Linked DNA regions of Rattus norvegicus. The protein of the gene in region 1 purifies or fractionates together with the protein of each later gene. This does not show direct contact. Links are inferred from orthologs where the notes say so. Each region holds a gene or a part of one and is shown on either strand. Other genes may lie near its edges.

The links.
Region 2: the proteins of Rad9a (region 1) and Hus1b purify together in Homo sapiens (co-immunoprecipitation; 3 studies listed by BioGRID and IntAct, counting the BioPlex papers as one, with this or other methods). This does not show direct contact. The link is inferred for Rattus norvegicus from reciprocal best matches to the Homo sapiens genes RAD9A and HUS1B.
Region 3: the proteins of Rad9a (region 1) and Rfc5 purify together in Homo sapiens (affinity purification with mass spectrometry; 3 studies listed by BioGRID and IntAct, with this or other methods). This does not show direct contact. The link is inferred for Rattus norvegicus from reciprocal best matches to the Homo sapiens genes RAD9A and RFC5.

The regions. Positions count from the first base shown.
Region 1 is NC_086019.1:210,915,538-210,921,595, forward strand, and holds the end of Rad9a (RAD9 checkpoint clamp component A), read right to left. Parts: intron 4,962-6,058; coding exon 4,852-4,961; intron 4,769-4,851; coding exon 4,659-4,768; exon of another isoform or gene 4,598-4,658; intron 4,585-4,597; coding exon 4,520-4,584; intron 4,434-4,519; coding exon 4,296-4,433; intron 3,571-4,295; coding exon 3,360-3,570; intron 3,274-3,359; coding exon 3,178-3,273; 3' UTR 2,433-3,177; downstream 1-2,432. Other genes in the region: Ppp1ca (serine/threonine-protein phosphatase PP1-alpha catalytic subunit), read left to right, coding at 1-114, 619-723, 1,675-1,898, 1,980-2,114, 2,215-2,325. UniProt on the Homo sapiens protein: Component of the 9-1-1 cell-cycle checkpoint response complex that plays a major role in DNA repair. The 9-1-1 complex is recruited to DNA lesion upon damage by the RAD17-replication factor C (RFC) clamp loader complex.
Region 2 is NC_086035.1:33,738,911-33,745,648, reverse strand, and holds Hus1b (checkpoint protein HUS1B), read right to left. Parts: upstream 2,960-6,738; 5' UTR 2,879-2,959; coding exon 2,048-2,878; 3' UTR 1,792-2,047; downstream 1-1,791.
Region 3 is NC_086030.1:44,872,357-44,879,568, forward strand, and holds the end of Rfc5 (replication factor C subunit 5), read left to right. Parts: intron 1-282; coding exon 283-356; intron 357-1,335; coding exon 1,336-1,495; intron 1,496-2,039; coding exon 2,040-2,121; intron 2,122-2,423; coding exon 2,424-2,553; intron 2,554-3,025; coding exon 3,026-3,103; intron 3,104-4,029; coding exon 4,030-4,084; intron 4,085-4,927; coding exon 4,928-5,024; 3' UTR 5,025-5,523; downstream 5,524-7,212. Other genes in the region: Wsb2 (WD repeat and SOCS box-containing protein 2), read right to left, coding at 7,168-7,212. UniProt on the Homo sapiens protein: Subunit of the replication factor C (RFC) complex which acts during elongation of primed DNA templates by DNA polymerases delta and epsilon, and is necessary for ATP-dependent loading of proliferating cell nuclear antigen (PCNA) onto primed DNA.

The DNA.
Region 1 (6,058 bases):
AGACCATCTGCTTGTTGCTGGCCTATAAGATCAAATACCCGGAGAATTTCTTTCTACTACGTGGGAACCATGAGTGTGCCAGCATCAACCGCATCTATGGCTTCTATGATGAATGTGAGTGCTTTGAATGTTGCTGGTTGCCCAGAACTACATTTCCTGCACTTCATGGGCCCCCTAAATTGTTCTAGTGCTGAGAACCCTGATGATGGGTCCTGCAAAGCCCCAACCAAGCTGTCTGTTATCCATGGCACCAAGGAAGGGCCTGGTGAATGGATGTACATGCAGGGCTGCCCGTTTGCTAAAGCTTCCTCCACAGCCCTGCCCGATGACACTTCCCTCTATTGCATCCCTTACTAAGCATTTAGGGTGCATGTTATGAATAAACCAGACACTGAGGTTAGGCCAGACTGGAGTTCAGGTTCTTGTGGACCCAGGTGTTGGAATTCTGGAAGGTAGATGAGGGCAGAGCAAGGAAACTGTAATAAGCTTTCTTTGCCTTCTAGTCTTTGCACTTTGTCAGAGTAACCCACAAAGTACCCTGGAGGAGTGCACAGAAAACTATAGACTGGGTTTTGTGTGGTGGGTGGTCTTCCCTACGAGCCATTTTCTTCTGTGCAGGCAAGAGACGATACAACATCAAACTGTGGAAGACTTTCACCGACTGCTTCAACTGCCTGCCCATTGCAGCCATTGTAGATGAGAAGATCTTCTGCTGCCACGGAGGTCAGGATGGTTGTGGGGTCTGTGCTTGGGCTATATCCTTAGGGGCCTTGGAAAGTTAACAGAACTCTCCTGTTTCCTGGAGTAGCTCTCCTTGAATTTGGCTGTCACTTATTACAGGTCACCCACAGCCCAGTTTGTTTTTGAGACAGGGTTTTTCTGTGTTCTGGAACTCACAAGAGTTCTGGTTATCTCTGCCTTCCAAGTGATGGGACTAAAGGCCTGCACCACCTCACCTGGCTACACACCCCAGTTCGACTGCGCTTTCCTGTTGTGGTATTTAGCATGCTATAGGCAACTCATTCATCTCCTTCCCCCACGGAGGTCTACTCTTTTTTTTTTTTTTAAATATTTATTTTATTTATTATATATGAGTACACTGTAGCTGTCTTCAGATACACCAGATCTCTTTATAGATGGTTGTGAGCCACCATGTGGTTGCTGGGAATTGAACTCATGACCTCTGGAAGAGCAGTCGGGTGCTCTTAACCGCTGAGCCATCTCTCCAGCCCGTACTCTTTGTACTTCTAAAAGCTGAGGGATGGCCAGGTGGCGGTGGCATACAAAGGGAGTTCCCTGGGTTGGGGATTTAGCTCAGTGGTAGAGTGCTTGCCTAGCAAGCACAAGGCCCTAGGTTCGGTCCCCAGCTCCGGGAAAAAAAAATGTTAATACATAAAATATCCAATAAAAAAAAAACTGAAAAAACATATTCCTAAAAAAAAAAAAACAAAAACAAAAACAAAAAAAACAAAGGGAGTTCCCAGACAGCCAAGGCCACATAGAGAAATGGGGCCAGCAGGAATATAATGAACTCTGTTTCCCTAAACTTAAGGAGCCCAAAAGATGAACCCAGCGTTGGTGGGGAAAGTGGAGCTGACCCCTGAGACCTTTCTGGGCATGGGATAGTACCTGCTTTTCGGTGTAAGGAACACTATTCTCACTCTACCACCCCAGGCCTGTCTCCAGACTTGCAATCCATGGAGCAGATTAGACGTATTATGCGGCCCACGGACGTGCCTGACCAGGGCCTGTTGTGTGATCTGCTGTGGTCTGACCCTGACAAGGATGTTCAAGGCTGGGGCGAGAATGACCGTGGAGTCTCCTTTACCTTTGGGGCCGAGGTTGTAGCCAAGTTCCTGCACAAGCATGATTTGGACCTCATCTGCAGAGCACATCAGGTGGGCTAGTGGCCTGGGGCAGGCTGTGGGGATGGCTAGCTGCTTAACTTAAGAGACCAAATGGTTCCTGTCCTTGCCCAGGTTGTAGAAGATGGCTATGAGTTCTTTGCCAAGAGGCAGCTGGTGACACTCTTCTCAGCTCCCAACTACTGTGGCGAGTTTGACAACGCTGGCGCCATGATGAGTGTGGACGAGACACTCATGTGTTCCTTCCAGGTGGGTGTGGGAAGAGATCCTTATGCGCTCCTCCCAGGTGGGTGTGGGGAAGAGGCTGCCTGGCTCAGTGCCAGGACCTGATCAGGGTTCTCTCTTTCAGATCCTCAAGCCCGCTGATAAGAATAAGGGGAAGTATGGGCAGTTCAGTGGCCTGAACCCCGGAGGCCGTCCCATCACTCCACCCCGCAATTCTGCCAAAGCCAAGAAATAGCCTCCATGTGCTGCCCTCTGCCCCAGATGACGGATTATTTGTACAGAAATCATGCTGCCATGGGTCACACTGGCCTCTCAGGCCCACCCATCATGGGGAACACAGCGTTAAGTGTCTTTCCTTTATTTTTTAAAGAATCAATAGCAGCATCTAATTCCCCAGGGCTCCCTCCCACCAGCACCTGTGGTGGCTGCAAGTGGAATCCTGGGGCCAAGGCTGCAGCTCAGGGCAATGGCAGACCAGATTGTGGGTCTCCAGCCTTGCATGGCTGGCAGCCAGATCCTGGGGCAACCCATCTGGTCTCTTGAATAAAGGTCAAAGCTGGATTCTCGCCATGGCCTCTGTCTCCCTCATCCCAGATAGTGGGCCAGCAGTCCTTTGGTACAAAGCCACCGGGGAGGGCAGACAGTGGCTGGACATGGGCCCAGCCAGGGCTAGTCAGGTCTAGAGGCAATTGGGATTCTAAGCCAAGGCCCAAGTGTTAGGACCACAGAAGGGTCTGATGGGAGTTCATGATTGGCAGAGAGCGTGTGTTCAACATTGATCTTTTTTAGAGGCAGGTGAGCCTAAGGAAGCTTAAGTTTCTGGCTCTGACCAGATACTGTAGAGCCTCAAAGTAAGAGGTGAAGAATCTGTCAGGTGATAGCCGGGCACCAGAGTATAGGCTGAGTAAACAGACCAAACATGGTTGCCTAGGTAGCTCTGAAGCAGACAGCCAAGTGGGGCCTACCCAAGGCATAGACCTTTTCTCATGTCCTTTTCTCATGTCCAGAGACTAATGCCCAACTCTGCCTGTGGCTGGGCCTGCTTCTGGTCCGTGAGCCTTTGGACACAGACTTCAGTTTCTCAAGTTCAGCCTTCACCATCACTGTCTTCAGCCAGCACAGGGTTGGGACCCTGGGGGGAATGTATAGGGGCCAGGATGGAGCCAAAGAAAAGTGAACGAAACTGGAAAGAGAATAGAGAAAGCCTAGTTAGTTCTGGAAGCTGCTTCCTTCCTTCCCTCAGTTCCTATCCCAACCTTCAGCTTTTACCTTCTTGGGTGGGGGAGTCCCAGGCACTGTACTAGGCTCAGCTTCCTCCTCTTCCTCCTCTGAGGGAGGGGCAAGGTCATGGGAGGCCTGGGGAACAGGTGGGAGGGAAGTGGAAGGCTGTGCCCGGGAGCTCTCGTTGCCCACGGTGGTTTCCATGGCAATCATGTAACAGTCGATGTCATCATTGGTAAAGTCATCTGAGTGGGGTGTGCTGTAGGCAGAGATAATATCAAGAAGGTACAGAGAAAAAAGGGATACAGAGGCAGGCCCCACTTTGGAGGGCTCAGAGGAGGGCTTGAGGCCTCAAGACTGCTGGTGAGCTTTCAATTTTATTACTTCCTGATTTGGCTGGGAGGATAGGATGCAGGGGTTAAGTGGGAGCTTCCTGGAGGGGGTGGAACTGGAACCCCTTTGATCAGAGTTCAGGTAGGGGCCTGAGGGAGGATCCTGGGGCCAATTTAGCTCAGCTGGGGGAGGAAAGCAACAAGTCCTGTGAACAGGGCCACGTGGGGCCCAATCTCTCACCTTCCCAAGGGATAGGAGCTGGAGAGCTCAGGAGCCCAGGGATATGCTGGGCTGAGAGCCAGACCAAACTTCCTCTGCTTCTACTCTACTGAGCCCAGCCTCCCAACCCACCTGCCCTTCCAGCCACCTGCTTCTCTACACCAGGCGGCTCCCTGCCTCCCAGCAGCTTTCTTTCCTAGTCTGGAAAGAGGCTCAGAGGGGAGGCCTCAGCCAGAGAAGGAAGCCAGCAGGACCTTGGGGATGCCTCTATGGATGGGAGGGGTCTCAGTACAGCTGACCATTAAGGCTGGAAGCCCTGTAGAGGCTGGGCCTGACAGGAAGTATGCATGGGGGAGGTGCAGAAGTGAGAAGTAGCAGGCTCAACCTTAGTGTGCAGAAATGGAGGGAAAGTGAGGTAGTTAGCACCCTTACCTGTGTGGCTGCTTCTGAGGCACTGGCTGATGGGGCTTTGGGGAACACAGGTCCTGGGAACATGAGTCTTGCTCTAAAAGTGTGGCCAAGACAAAGTGGGCATCTAGCAAAGAGTCCTCAACGGTAAAGATGACTGGCCTGAGTGACAGAAAGGCTAACTGGGTTATCCTGCTCTGGGCATCCTAGAGCCCTACTTCCTACCCAGCCTAAAAGCCTGGAATTACCTGCCTGGAACATCAAAGTGGATAGTAAGAGGCAAATTTGCAGACTCTGCAAAGCTCAGGAGCCCCTGGGAAGGAAGAAGCAGGTAGTAAGAGCCTGTGTTTGGCTGAAAAGACCAGGTGACAGCCATAGTAAACTCACCCGAAATTCCTTGAGACAGAAGGTGACAGCTCTCCCTTCTGGGGCATGCAGCTGCTGGAAGTCCTCCTCCCCAATGCTCGTCTCAGTCACCATGGCCTTGCTGGTGCTATCTATGTGGCAGGCACAGAGGAGTTAACATCCTTGAGTCACTCCTAGCTCTTGTGCCCTCCTGGGACAGGTCTAACTCCCTCACCTGCCTCCTCTTCCTGGTAGCTGCGCAGGATGACGCGTCGGCCACGGCCAATGCCCAGGGTCACCTCAGTCAACGCAAGGGGAAAGGACAGAACCGCCTCTGCCAGAACCCTGTGACAAGGACAAACATCGGATGTGCACGAGATGCTTTGCCCACTCTTATGTTACTTGCCTGGTGAGAAGCTCTTAAGGCAGTGGAAGCGCAGACTAAGTAAAACCAAAGCCTAGACACAGCAGAGGGGCAGGCAAGGCAGGTTGCTGTGGGAGCAAAGAGCCTTTTGCTCAGGGACCCAGGAACGAGAGCTCGGAAGTGGGGGAAAGCAAAGCTGGGTACAGGACAACATTGCTGTTAGTCCCAGCTACTTTTTTGGGGATGGGTGGGGGTTGTTTTAAAACAGGTTCTTTACATTTAGCCCTGGCTGACCTCAAACTTAGCAATCCTTCTGGCCTTTTGACTCTACCCCCCCCACTTTTTAAGATTTCTTTTATTTATATGGATATACTGTAGCTGTCTTCAGACACACCAGAAGAGGGCATCAGATCTCATTATAGATGATTGTGAGCCACCATGCAGTTGCTGAGATTTGAACTCAGGACCTCTGGAAGAGCAGTCAGTGCTCTTAACTCCTGAGCCATCTCTCCAGCCCAACTCTACCTCTTAAAAAGAGCTGGGATGGGGTTGGGGATTTAGCTCAGTGGTAGAGCATTTGCCTAGCAAGCGCAAGGCCCTGGGTTCAGTCCCCAGCTCCGGGAAAAAAAAAGAGAGAGAGAGAGCTGGGATTACAGGTGTGCACTATCATACCCAACCCAGGGGCTCAACATATCAACCCAGGGGCTCAACAACACCCTGCACCCATACCCAGAAGTGGAACAGCGATAGGTCTTACTATATAGCTTGAGCTGGTCTTGAACTCACAGAGATCTACCTACCTCTTCTTCCCAATATCAGGGATTAAAGGTGTTGAACACCAACCCAGGCCTTGCCCCCATCTTCTAAGGATTTATAATGCTGAACGTTTATAGAAAAGTAACTCCTAGATTTGCCTCAAGACTATAGTCTTTGGGTTCTGTCCCTAGCATGAGATGGAGGTGGGGTATCTGGCATCTATATTTGAATTTTTTTTTTTTTTTGGTTCTTTTTTTCGGAGCTGGGGACCGAACCCAGGGCCTTGCGCTTCCTAGGCAAGCGCTCTACCACTGAGCTAAAT
Region 2 (6,738 bases), on another chromosome or scaffold:
TTTTACTAGTCCTCTAAAAGAAGACATAATAGTGTTTCAAATACTTATGCATATTCCCGGAAACTATAATGTAGAATTTAGCCTGGTAATGGATTAATAAAAAATTAAGGACATACATGGGGGTTTAACAACTCTTTTAGTGAATAATTATGTTGTTCCAAAGATACTATAACACTTACTGTACAGAAAATAGACAAGGAAAGATTAGATAAATAACTTGTTTCATGGATTAACATCCACAAACCAATTCTTGACAAAGGTAAACTCTCCTTTAATTGGCATGGAAAATTGAGTTCTCTGAGTGAATAATTAGCTTACTGACACTGTTGAAATTACAGCCCAAATTGGCTTCTTTGGACTACTTTGAGAATCTAGTCTAGTTCACATAGAACTTAGAACCAAGTTTCTAAGTACAAATGTTCTGCTTTCCCTGTTGCCAAAAAACAGTAGCATGACATCTTAATGAAAGTGAGGAATTACCACTGCCATTATAGAGAAAAGTTGTCTAACAGAAATGTTACTGCTGGTAATCATTGAGAATGGTGACTTTGATTAGCAGAAAGGGATGTGCTGGTATTCACAAAGTTGAGAAAGAAGAGATCTGAATAAACTAAACTCCAGAGATGTGCAATGAATTATAGGACAGCCAACCCTGACGTGCTTACTGCTCAAGCATAAGGATCCAAATTCAATCTCCAGAAGCCATGATGAAAACCAACAAATCAAAACAAACAGAAAAGTGTAGTGGCATACATTTGTATTTGGGGAGGCATAAATAAGCAGATTCTTAGAGACCACTGGCTGGCCAGCCTACCCTACTTGGAAAGCTCCAGGACAATAAGAAACCATGGCTCTAAAGACAAGATCCTGAAAGGCTTGTTCTCTGGTCTCAATACACTCTATGTAGAAACACACACATGCACGCACACACATGCACGCACACACACCATATATGTGTATATATTATACATACACATATTCTTTATTATAGCTTGAAATTTATTTCTCGTTTATATGAAATACAATGGAAAAAGCTAGAAGACATGGCTCAAATGAGTATGCAGTGATCTGAATGAAATTCCTCACAGTCTCCATCATCGGAATACTTGGTTTCTGTTAGTAGTGCTATTTGGGCAAGGTTTAGGAGGTACAGCTTTTTTAGAGGAAGTATGTCATAGGACTTTGGGGTTTTAAAACCACATGCCATTCCCAGTTAAAGCTCTGCTTCATACATAAAATCTAGGGTTTGAGCTCTTAGCTATTCCTGTACCATAACTGTCATATGCTGCCAAGATTCCCTACCATGATGTATTCTTATTGCTCAAAATACCGTAAGCCAGAAAACCCTTCTTTCTGTAAGTTGCATTTGTCATTGTGTTTAAGCTTACTAACAGAATCACAAAGCATGCCTGTGTTACACCACAGACACACACACATACACATAGCCTGAAGATGCTGAAGCTTTCCCAAAACAGCTTTTACATATAGTCCTCACACTTAAATAGTCACCAAACCAAACAATCCTATGCTTCCAACTCAGAAGTGAGAAAGTAAATTGTTTGAGAGTTTAAACTCTCTAAAGTGGCTATTCCCCAGTAATGTTAAGACTTCCACTGAGAACCTTCAGAAAACAGTTATCTCTGAATATATGATATACATACAAAAATTCATCTTATACCTTTAGAGACTGAGATCATTAAGTCTCTCAAAATAATTTATGATTATTTTAAAAGGAGAAATTTCTCATTCTTCACAATATTTTTCATAAAAAATAATATAATTGTTTCAGGATTCAGTTAATTGTTTTATTACAATCCTTTATTCCCAAACAACTAAGTTGAATGTAAGGTAATGGTCAAAGCCAAAAAGCAATCACATGAACTTGCAATTATTTCTTAACAATTTACAAAGGAAGCACTCAACAAAATCAACACCCTACAAAATCCACAGGGTTGCAAGCTTTTAACGAAAGTAACTCAAAGTCTCAGTTCTGGAAAGAACTTAAATTAAGATTTCTTTTAAAAAGAAAATTAAGGCTGCTTGAAATTCATGAGGCAGGAATAAAATACTGAAGAGAAATATCTTCGTGAACCAAAACAAGATGAAGTAGGGTATTGCTCAAAATATTACATAAGGCCATTGTGGGGTTTATCTGCTGTCCGTCAAAAAACCGTAGAAGTTTCCTATTATCCACCCGTACTTGTACCATGTTGTCTGGGTCTTTGCCTTGAGACATACCCAGAACGGCATTTGGAGGACTTCCAAGATTTCTAAAATAGCTTTTAATAGTCACTCCATCAGTTTCTACACTCAAGTTCATTTTGCCTTTTAGATTTGCTTCCACCAGCACGTGACTGCCCACATTTGCCATCCTTTCCACCATGTTCTTCAAGGTCTTCATAGCAGGCAGATAAACACTCACGTCAGAGCCCCGAACATGGGGCTCTGTGCATTCTTTCCACCACCTTCTGGGAAGTACCCTCACAGGCAGATCGTGGACCATAGCGCGGGTGTGGCCGGGGCACGATGCCAGCTCTACCACCACAGTAAGGCAGGGGCGCAGCTTGTTGGTGAGCTGCAGCTTCAGGGATGAAGCGTTGCTTGCATTCCTCACGGCTCTGGCCAGATGCTCAGACGTTAGCTCTAGATAGATTTCATTGAACTCCTGCGAAACACCCTCCATGCAGAAGTGGTGGAAGACATTCCGCCTCACCTCACCCCACAGCTTGGCCTCACTCAGCAGCCCCATTGGACAGAAGCACAGCCTGTCAGGGCACACGCGGAGCACACAGACCTTCGTCAGCTTTGCTATGGTGCTGTTGACCTGTATGAAGAGCTCTATAAAACGCTTGCTGGTGATCCTGGCCCGAAACTTCATGGGGCCTAGGTGGTAGAGGGAGCGCTGTGAGGAAACCGCTGCCAGAGTAGTCAGCTGGCTCACTCTTCCGGCCCGGAGTGTAACATGCTTAACCTTCCGGCCTGGGGCGCAACCGCCTCACCTACCATGCCTGGGGTGCGTTCTACTGCGCCTCCCCCCTGCCCCAGCACTGCCTATACTTGGGTTCCACATCCCTGCAGGTCCACTTCCACCTGAGGACACCTAGGTCAAACACTATAGGGTGATGCTTAGGGCGGTCTCTGGACCCATCTTTACCTTCCCACATACCTGCCCTATTTGAATACGTCACTGCTTCTGATCTGCTCATAAGAAGGTCACTCTATATAGTGTGACCACAATTTAAAGTACCACTGAAATAACCAACCCTTTTAAAACATTTGTTACATATATATACCTAATATATATTATAGTTTTGTTCAGTACAGATATTACTTGCAGATGTTAGTTACTACATGCCTTATAAACAATGTGATACACTAGACACATTTTATTTGCACCTAAAATACATACATAATGGATATCATTCCATACCATTAAACACTAACAAGTCTATCATTTTCATGGCTAGTTTCCCAGTATATTGATAAAAATAATTATTTCACAAGAGGAATTCACATGATTCAATTTTGACCTATTACTGGAATAATAAACATCTGTTATACAAAATACATTTACTTTTGTCAGTATTTACTTGTGTTAAATTTAAAGGGGAACTCTTGGTCATAGCATGTACATATAAAACTCTTCTGTTACCAAACTGTCCCAGAGAAAATTCTATCAACATACCTTCTGTCAGTAGCGTCATATAACAATCTATTTTGTATGTAGTGATATGATAAGTAGAATAACATGGCTTCAACTTGCAATGTATGTATGTCAACTTTACATTCCTTGTATGTAGTTTGTTGCTTGCTTTTTAAGATCTCTGATAGGACCAGGCTGGTGACACGTACCAATAATTTCAACACTGGGGCCAAAGGCAAGAAGGAAGGATCACAAGTTTAAGGAAAGTTAGAGTTACATTCTGGGCCAGTCAGAGCTATACAGTGAGATTTTTTATCTCAAATAAATAAATTAATAACAAAAGAATAAAAACTCTGGCAAGAACATTAACCCTCTGTCCCTGTAAATATGGTCCAGATAAGTCTTTGGTTTTCATATTATTTATGATGTTCTTTGCCCTTAAGAAAATACTACATCTGTGTATGTGAAATGTATTTGTCTTTTCTCTGGTGCTCCTGGAGTCCTGACCCATGTGAAATACAGAGGATGCAGCTGGAACTTCTATATTTATTCTATTACAGCAGGATGTCTGCTCGGCTCCTTCTTCAACTAGGCAGGGCCTCCAAGATGATGGCCCAAGTCTCTGACTAAGGTGTCTTAGAGACCAGGATCTGACTGGTTTCTTCATCTTACTCCTGGCCCAAAGCAAGTCCTCAATTTCATCCCAATCTTAGCTTGAAGGCAGCAGCATCTCAGCTAGGAAGTCAGAACAATCAGTTGCTTCTGTAAACTTTCAGTTCCTCTTTTGTCTTATTTACTGTTCCATTGCCGTGAAGATACATTATGACCAAGGCAAGTCTTTTTAAAAAAGCATTTAATTGGGTGCTTGCTAACAGGTTCAGAATTAGTTCACATGGTGGTAAGGCAGTAGCTAAGAACTTTATATCCTTGACCCACAAAAGGAGGGAAGGAGGGAGGGAGACAGAGACAGACTAAGAAACAGACTAAGAGATAGACTAAAAGACGCAGACTAAGAGAAACAGACAGAGACAGAGACACTGGGCCTGGTGTGGACGTTTCAAACTTCAAAGCCTACCGGCAACAACATACCTCCTCCAACAAAGCCATATCTCCTAACCTTCCCAAACAATTGATCAACCAAAAACCAAGCACACACATATGAGCCATTGGGGGCCATTCTCATTCAAACCATCATACTCTTCATGACCACCATTTGCTCATGGGTACCCTCAGGATTTCCTCTAATAAACTTCTCTCTCTGGTGATGGCATTATAGAGGGTCAGGTATTTCAAGCTTTCAAGCTTTCATACACCACAGACACAAGGGAATGTGTGACAATCCTGTCTGCTTCTGCATTTATGCTATGTTCTATCCATTAAGAGGCAGGGACCCAGTGATCACCATATAGAGGATGAATCCCAGACTTACTGTTACCTCCCACTGGGCCCTTACACTTTTTGGTCCCTGTTTCTCCAATGCTAGGATTACAGGACATCCACAACTGAGCTTCTTCTAGTTCTTTTGCAAGTCAACGATCAATTAAGATGCCGTCTGTATTGTTCCATAAGATGAGTTCTGGATGCAAGCATGCCAGTTCCTTAGAAAGGAAGTAGGAGCCAGTCACCTGCACCTTTCCATAACCCAAGGACAACAAAGTAACAACAAACTGCAACATAGCACACCAAGTCATGTAGTGGTTTGCCTTGAAATTATCTGTATTTTGATGCTAATTCCACTGCTCCAAGGACAGCTGCCTAGTCACTACTTAGGAATCAGGTGACTTCACCAGAACCCTCTCCCCATTGAATCTGTAAAGTACAGGTGAGGGGCAGGTACAGGATAGAAGGAGGTCTGTCATTGGAGGAGAAGGAAGGTGGGCGGGAGAGAAGTTTGAAGGAATAGGAGGAACTAGGAGAGAGAGTAAGAACTAGACAGAGGAGAGGGTGAGAAGCTATGGCAGGTAATGTTAAGATTCTGCTCTGTGTATTTACAGGTTGTTATTAATGTTCCTAAGGGATGGATGGTACCAGGCTTTGTGTAAGTAGGCAATTATAGCTTATCAATTGGATCTAAGATTATTGTGTTGTGTGTTCTTTTGTGTGAGGGTTTGAGTGTAGGAAAGTGTGCGGCTGGGATGTGTTTCTGTCAAGATATCTAGCAGATATCTTGGGGCACTAAGGTGCTGGACCTAGTGGGGTAAAAGACCACAATATACTTTATTTTTATATTTTTACAACAACAGTCACTCGTCAATACTTTTTTTTACCATCTAAAGAAACTGTAACCTTGGTAAATTTTAACATTTAAAATGCATCTTTACCAGCAAATTCTCTGTTAACCTAAGAAATAATTTCTTCTTTACATTTCAAGAGATAGAATAGATGGACATGAAAAGGTACAGGCTGAAACCTCTCAACAGCAGAGAACCAAGAATTCCAACACAACGGACAGCATTTGCTTCAGGTTCTTCTCCCTTCCTAGCTATAAATCTGCAAGTTAGAAACCACATAAAAAGCCCTTTACAGTGACTGGATCTGTCTTAACTCCCTTGTGCAGCACCACTTTTATCAAATCAAACTGTAAACCCAACCAAGGCTCCTGCACATTCTAGTAATCCCAATTAACAAAACAAAATTATCACAAATGTGGTGAAAGGTGTTTGAATGAGAATGGCCCCACAGGGTCACATACTTGAATACTGGCCCCAGTTGGTGGAACTGTTTGGGAAGGATTAGGTGTGGCCTTGTTAGATGCAATCTGTCACTGGAAGTTTCAAAGGCCATGCATGCCATTCCCAGTCAGTTCTCTGTGCCTGGTGTTTGTGGAGATGTAAACCCTCTGCCACTGCTCCAGCCCCACGTGTGCCTTCCTGCTGCCAAGCTCTCCACCATCACAGTCATAAACTAACCTCTAAAACTGTAAGCAGGCTCCAGTTCAGAGGTCTGGTTGATGTCTTTTAAATAGAAAAGTAACTGAGACAGTAGTGACAGAGGAGGGAGGGTGCCTTGGAAGGTGGCTGAACAAGATTCCAAAACTTTCCAAATTCCTATAGTCACCACTAGGACAATAAAATGTGACCCTTCTTTGAGAAGCC
Region 3 (7,212 bases), on another chromosome or scaffold:
GATGTTTGTGCATGGCCTACTCACATCCCTGGGTTTCAGTCCTGCCCCACAAGCGAGCAGCTGACACAGGATACGGTGGGTAAGGAAGGCTAACACCTCAGGGTGGAATTAGCTGTCACTTCTAAAGGATGAAAGCGTGATTGGCAAGCGTGAATGCCTCAGCTATCAGCCTACATCGGGATCTGAGAAGGATGGACTTGGGGTAGCCTGAGTGTGAAGATGGAGATTCAGCCTGGTGTGGAAGGAAGCTGAGGACACCTCCACATGCCTTTGTTCTCCTAGGAGAGGGTTTAAGCTTGTGATCCTGGACGAAGCTGACGCCATGACTCAAGATGCCCAGAATGCCTTGAGACGAGGTGAGATTTGCTGCCCCATCTGAACTGAGTGAACTGAGGCCGGGAATTCTGGGTACATGTGACCTTTCCATCAGGAGGCACCATTTAGTCCAGTGATTCAGACAAGACTGCCCTGTAGGTAGGTCCCCTTCAGCACCCTCAAGATGGGTGGCCTCTGTCATTCAGTGGAAATAAGGCTTAAATCCCTTATCCACTGGCAGATCCTCTGTCTTTGGTAAAAGCTAACACCAGGAAAGACTGAGTGCAGGGGTGACCATGGTATGGGGTGAGTCCTGTGTTTTCCTGTGGAGTAGGGCTGGTGCCATCCTGTTGAAGACCCGTTGTGTGCAGCTCCTGCTAACACTGCTGGGAGGGAAGAACAGCTTCAGGAGCCTGGAAAAATGAGACCTGGGAGAGGGGAGCAGGATGTGTTCTGGTTCTAGCGTGTTGGCACCCTTCCTTCAGCATCTTGTTCTGCTGAGTGACTCGGTGTGGGCAGATCTGTGTGGGGACACTGGTCTCTCCGTGCTGCTGGCTCTTGCTCCCTGAATGCTCCTAGACTTTCAGACATGGGCTGCAGGGAAGTGTGCAGAGTCAGCTCAGACAAGGTGGGTCTCAACAACCTCAGACAGCATCTTGTACAGAGGGATGGGAGCTCTTGGACGGGGGGCCAGATCTTGAGGAAGAGTGCTAGAATTGTGGAGGTGATAAAAAGGTGCATTTGTGCGCTCTGATGGTGCGTGTCCTAGCTGTGCAAGTTGGGCGTGCTGACTCACACTGGACCGAGTCCACGCACTCCAGAGATGGGGGCAGGTGGGTCACCTGGAGTCTGAGCCCAGCGTGAGCTCCATATACACTGAGAGCTACACAGGATGGGGGCTGAGCTGAACTGTTGCTCATGTCCCATAATACCCTCTACCCCCACAGGCCACGTTCTCACTCTCAGTATCCTTAAGCTTCCCTGGGTCCTCTTATGTGAAGTGTTTGGTTTCTCTCCCAGTGATTGAGAAGTTCACTGAAAACACCAGGTTTTGCCTCATCTGTAACTACCTGTCCAAGATCATCCCTGCCTTGCAGTCACGGTGCACGAGGTTCCGATTTGGCCCTCTGACGCCTGAGCTCATGGTTCCTCGGCTAGAACATGTGGTACAAGAAGAGAAGTGAGTTTGTTTTAGAAGAAGGAAGAGGGGAGGTGTGGGGATTTGAGTGGCAGGGAGGTTGGGCAGAGTGGCTAATCGGAGGGAGTGTTGGCTACTGCCATCTCCTGTGGGCCCTGGATAGTCTGTCTCCTGAACCCTTGGTTCCACACCTACATTCCTGCAGGCTGTTCCCTCTGTTTTGTCTTGGGAACTGACTGTTGCTGAGTCCCTTTTTGCAGATGCTGCCAGCTGGCTGGAAGGGAAGGCTCTGCTCTGAGATCCACTCTGGGCCGTCAGATACCGAGCAGTGGCCTCTTCCCAGAAATGTCTCTTTCAGCAGCCACCTCCTTAAAGCCTTGGTCCATAGTAAAGCTCTGGCTGGATCCAGCTACTCATGTGACACACGTCCCTAAGCACTGCAGTAACTCAGATGTTCAGGAGAGTCCTGTCACCTCCGTTTTGATGTTTTCCTTCTTTTAAAGCTTCGTCACTCAAGGATCATACGGTTGATGAAATTTTGCTCTTTGCAGACAGCTTCAGTTAACTCTTACCCATTTCCTTTTAGCGTGGACATAAGTGAAGATGGAATGAAGGCCCTTGTCACTCTGTCCAGTGGGGACATGCGAAGGGCTTTGAACATTCTGCAGGTATGATCAGTCACACTGCAGGTTCTTCAAACCATTGCTTCAAAATAGTTTTCTAAGAAAGACAGCCAGCTGATCCACACATTCATTCAGAAACCTATTAAGATTCTCCTTGTCGTGCACCAGCTCTGCCTGTGCGCTCTAATGGGAAGTCCCGGTGCTGCTCTAAGCTATGGGAGGACGCTGCAGCTCTACTGCATGGGGCAGCATTCACAGTGGAGGGCAGCCCTCCCCACTGTCCTGGGCCTGTGTCATGTCACTGGCAGGACAGCTGCTGACAGTCCCTGGACCCCCTCCTCCTGCAGAGTACCAATATGGCCTTTGGGAAGGTGACAGAGGAGACTGTCTACACCTGCACCGGGCACCCACTCAAGACGGATATTGCCAATATTCTAGACTGGATGCTGAATCAAGACTTCACCACTGCCTACAAAAGTATCCTTTTTGGTGACTGTTGCCAGGTTCAGGCCTGGGGTGCGGGGGGCTCGAAGCCCAGGCTACAGCCAGCACCTATACCTGCCGGGTGACAGGTGTCAGCTGATGGGAAGCAGGTATCCCCAAGCAGAGAGCCCTTCTCCTCAATGGCTCCAGCCCAAGTGAGTGAGGCTGTATGTAGCTTCTCCGTTCACGGCAGTTAAATGGACTCATGACCTTGTTCTGCAGTTAAATGAAAGCTACAGGTGGCTGTGTGACCCTTCAAAGAGAGGTCTGCTCTGCTGTCTGAGGAATAGGGCTGTACTGTGTAGAAAAGCCTTATTGAAGGTAACGGGTCAAGTTAGAATTGGACCTGTGTACAGCTACTGGGATGAAGACCCCTATTTCCAGGTCGGCCTCCAGGGTCTGCTGTTGAAGCCTCCCCACAGCATGTTCTGGAATGGTTCCTCTCACCTTAGCTGCTTTTCCCTAGATATCATGGAGCTGAAGACTCTGAAGGGCTTGGCACTGCACGACATCTTGACAGAGGTTCACTTGTTTGTGCACAGAGGTAACTGGGCTGGATAGGAGGCACAGCTTTGGGATGGCCACAGAGAGCATAAGGTCTTAGCTCTTGAGCAGAAACAGGAAGAGGGTGACTGATCCTTAATCTTGAGCGGTTCTGAATGGCTTTGTTGCAGCCCCTTTTTAATACCTGGAGCTGCATAGAGGCTTTTTCCTAAAGGGGACTTTTTGGATAGGAAGTACTGTATCTTTCATTCTTGTTACATGCTCCCCATGCCAGGGACTGAATCCAGGGCCTTGTACATGTGAAGCATGTAATCTACCACAGGGCTGTATCCACACCCTTGCTTCTGGGGTCTGCACCCAGACACTTGGAAGTCACCTGTGTGCTCCTGTAAACTAGGCAGCCTCCAGGAAGCTGCCTTTCTGCTCCTGTTTACTGCCTTGTTTCAGCGATCAGTCTCAGCATGGGCAGAACCTGGGAATCACCCCAGACCATTCAGGATGAGGCAAGGGGATGTCAGCCTTTGGAAGAGGCCCTAGGGGCTCCTCCACATAGCCTTTTCTCCCAGCAGCCACCCCCAAATGGAGAGGCTCTCAGGTCCCAGGACTGTGAGCCTGTGTGGACTCTGTTGCTTAAGTTTGTCCTCTGGGTAACATGAGCCTTCTGGTTAGTTTACCTGGTTAGTGAACCTGGTTAGTGAGCTTTCTGCCACCTCCAATGGATAGGGTCTGAGGCTGCTTGGGATGGGGCTGTGTGTGTGTGTGTGTGTGTGTGTGTGTGTGTGTGATGGAACTCATCTCGTCCTGAGCTGCACCCCAGCCTGTGTGTGCTAGAAAGCAGTGGGGCCTACACCGGGCTCAGTTCATCGGTCTGGTGACCTACATGCAGTGGGTCGGAGGGATGCTCATGCTTGTCAAAAGTCCTGTGTGCGGGGGGATCCTGCTCATTAGATTCTGTTTTTCCCTCAGTTGACTTTCCGTCTTCAGTTCGGATGCATTTATTGACCAAAATGGCAGACATTGAGTGAGTGTTTTCCCATTTCAATTCTTTGGCTTTAGTTTCAGCTTCTGTGCCATTCACACATGGGGCAGTCTGGTTTGGGGTAGTGCCCAGTGCACTGTGGAGAAGGCTGTGTGCTGCCTCCAGAGCCCAGGGCAGCGGTGCGGAGGATGAGCACAGAGCGGCCTCTGCGCGAGTTGAGCCCTTGCTCTCCTCACACTGGGCGTGCAGACAGGAGATGGCCAGCTACTCTGCTTACTAAGGCATTGTGGCACACATGAGCACAGTAAACACTGTCACTACTCCCCAGTGACGCTGGCAGCTGTCATTTAAGTGGACAGCACACTGGGCTCCAACCAAATACTAGTATCACAAGTTCCAGGAGGCTGTCACTAGCTCATGTACACAAAGTAGGTCACGTCCTATCACTATTGGGAGTGATTTTGCTTTTAGTGGCCAGGCATTTAAAAGTAACAAGATGAGCTGCTAGTTCCTGCTTTACTGCCCTGTCATAAACCTCCAGCTCTCTGCTGCAATGCCACAACCAGAGGAGCATCTGCAGAGCTTATAGCACGGTCCCTAACCCTCACCCCATGCACCCTGCCTTCTGTGCGTAGAGGGAGGATGGATGCCGAGTGCAATTCAGAACCTCCTGGTGCTGAGTTTCTAATCTGCCCTCGGCAGCTTCAATCAAATGGCCAACTGAGTGCCAGGGAGAAGAAACTTGAAGGACACAGACCAGAGTCCTCACCAGGGTGTGTCTGTCAGCTCCAGTGCCTTTTGTGCAGGCTACAGTAGCTCCCACATTCTCGCCGATAGGCAGGGCCTAGCGTTTGCTTTATACTCAACTTGGGCTGTTCTCCCCAGGTACAGGCTCTCTGTCGGCACCAGTGAGAAGATCCAGCTGAGCTCCCTCATTGCTGCTTTTCAAGTTACCAGGGACTTGATAGTTGCAGAGGCCTAGAAAACCCAAGGCCTGAGTTGCAGAAGCCTAGAAACTTGGCCCTTGCTCAGGCCCATCGGTGACTGGAGGACAGAAGACATGCTGCCCTGGGCCAGTGGATAAAATCAGTCACAGACTTTTCTCCCCAGGCATTTAGATAGTGCTATCTGTGGCTGTTTGGAGCAGGGATCTACAGAGCAACTTTAATCTGGAAGAATCCATTCTGCTTGTCTTCTATAGGGGAAAATACCCCGCCCCGTGGAGAGGGCTGCTTTAAAGTCGTCACTGTCACTCTCTGGGATGACAAAATTGGCTGCAGTGTTCATGTGGAAACTGAGTGTGCTTCAGTGTCTCCCAACTCTGAATGGGTGCCAGGAGGATTCTGATCTAATGTTTTGTTAAGAATTTCAAAATCAGGGGTTGGGAATTTAGCTCAGTGGTAGAGCGCTTACCTAGGAAGCGCAAGGCCCTGGGTTCGGTCCCCAGCTCCGAAAAAAAGAACCAAAAAAAAAAAAAAAAAGAATTTCAAAATCAGTCTCTTCTGCCCCTAACCTCAGGACTCAGGAGGCCGAGGCAGAAGTGCCAGGCAGTTGGCAGTTGCAGGCCAGCGTAGTGAGACAGACCCTGCTTACCAGCAGATTCCAAATTCTATTGTGAAAATAGGAAAGAAATTCCAACACAGTTGGCCTTCAGACTGCGTGCCTGCCTTGTTGGGAAGGGATGGGGCAAACTTCCCTGTATTCACAGCAAGTACTCCCCAGTGAGAATAAAGTGTTCTGTGTTCTAATCCGCACTGGCCTGTCTGCCTGTGTTTCTGTTACCTTGGGACCAGACTTCCCTTGGGCTAGATGAGGGACTGAAGGCACCCAGTGCAATGTGCTGCATCTCAGGGGGAGATGTTTCAGCATGTGCTGTCAAAGGGAGACATCGGTTTTCTTGTCCATGGGGCGTTTGCTCCCCAAGTTCCAAGCTGAGTCTGAAGTTGTGGCCCTGTGGCCAGTGCTGGAGGCGGCATCTCAGCTGCATAGCGGCGCAGAGCCACCCACTGGTGCCCTCTCCTGGGCTTGGTCTAAAAGACGTCTTTGCTTCTTTCGTAATAGGAAAAAAAAGGACAGAGACAGGATTTTTTTTTTTCCTTTTTCTTTTTCTCTTTTCTCCCTTCAATGAAAGCCTCATTTGCAATGTACTTCTTCAAATAACAGAGGGGATCCTGTGCACACTGCAATGTTAGCACTGCCTCCATAAAGCATCAATTAAGAAAGGCCCAAGAGTAGGATGCTGTTTCTTTTAAAATAATTTAAAATATATTAACTTTCCTAAGGCAGATTTTGTGTGAGGCGTGTTGAATAGGTAGCTGCTACCGCTGCCAAAGAACGGTGCTTGGAAGGGGCTGTCTGTTCTGGGCAGTTGGAGTTGGAGGGTAAATCCCGTGAGGTCAAGCAGCAGAGACAACGCACGTGACAGCACAAGCCAGTGATGTCAACACTGACTCCACACGGCTAAGACTTGGCTCACAACTGGGCCACTTAGGAACCCTGGTTCTTAGAGACAATTGAGAAAACACAGTTGTACCTTAGTATCTGCTGAGAAAACACATAAATATGATGCTGATAGTGGCCGTCTGGCCGTCATGCAGTTGAGGAACACCTTGTATGATCTGATATACTCGCTTGTCCTTTTCTATACATGCACACCACTGTTGAAAGGAAAATAAAAGCCGGCTAGTGTTTGCTGAGGAGCACAGCCCAGTTTGTGTGCAGCTGAGTACGGAAGCAAATATCAAAGTCCCTCTCACCAGAACAGAGGGAACTTCAAACCATGCAGCTGCTGCCTGGAAATAGGCTGCAGGGACCCTACGTGGCAGGCACTTCCCAGTTAAGGGAGTGTGGACTTGGCCACCACCAGAGAGGCTCTGGAGCCTGCTTGCTTTTATTACCCACACGACTTCCACAACTGCACTTGGCTTCAACACAACTAGACTGACAAAGGCTGCTCACAACGGACGAAGGCGAGGTAAGGCTGGCACCACGGAAGTGGGATCACTCAGACCTACTTGCACATGCCATGGGGAGGAAGGTCCACACTGGTCCAGCGTGGTCTGCCTGGCTCCATCCTCGCCAGTCCCTTGTACTGGTTCTGCTGCAGGAGATGGGGGCTGGCACTGCTACAAAGTCCTGTACGTGAGGAAGTCTTTCATCTTCTTGGGGAT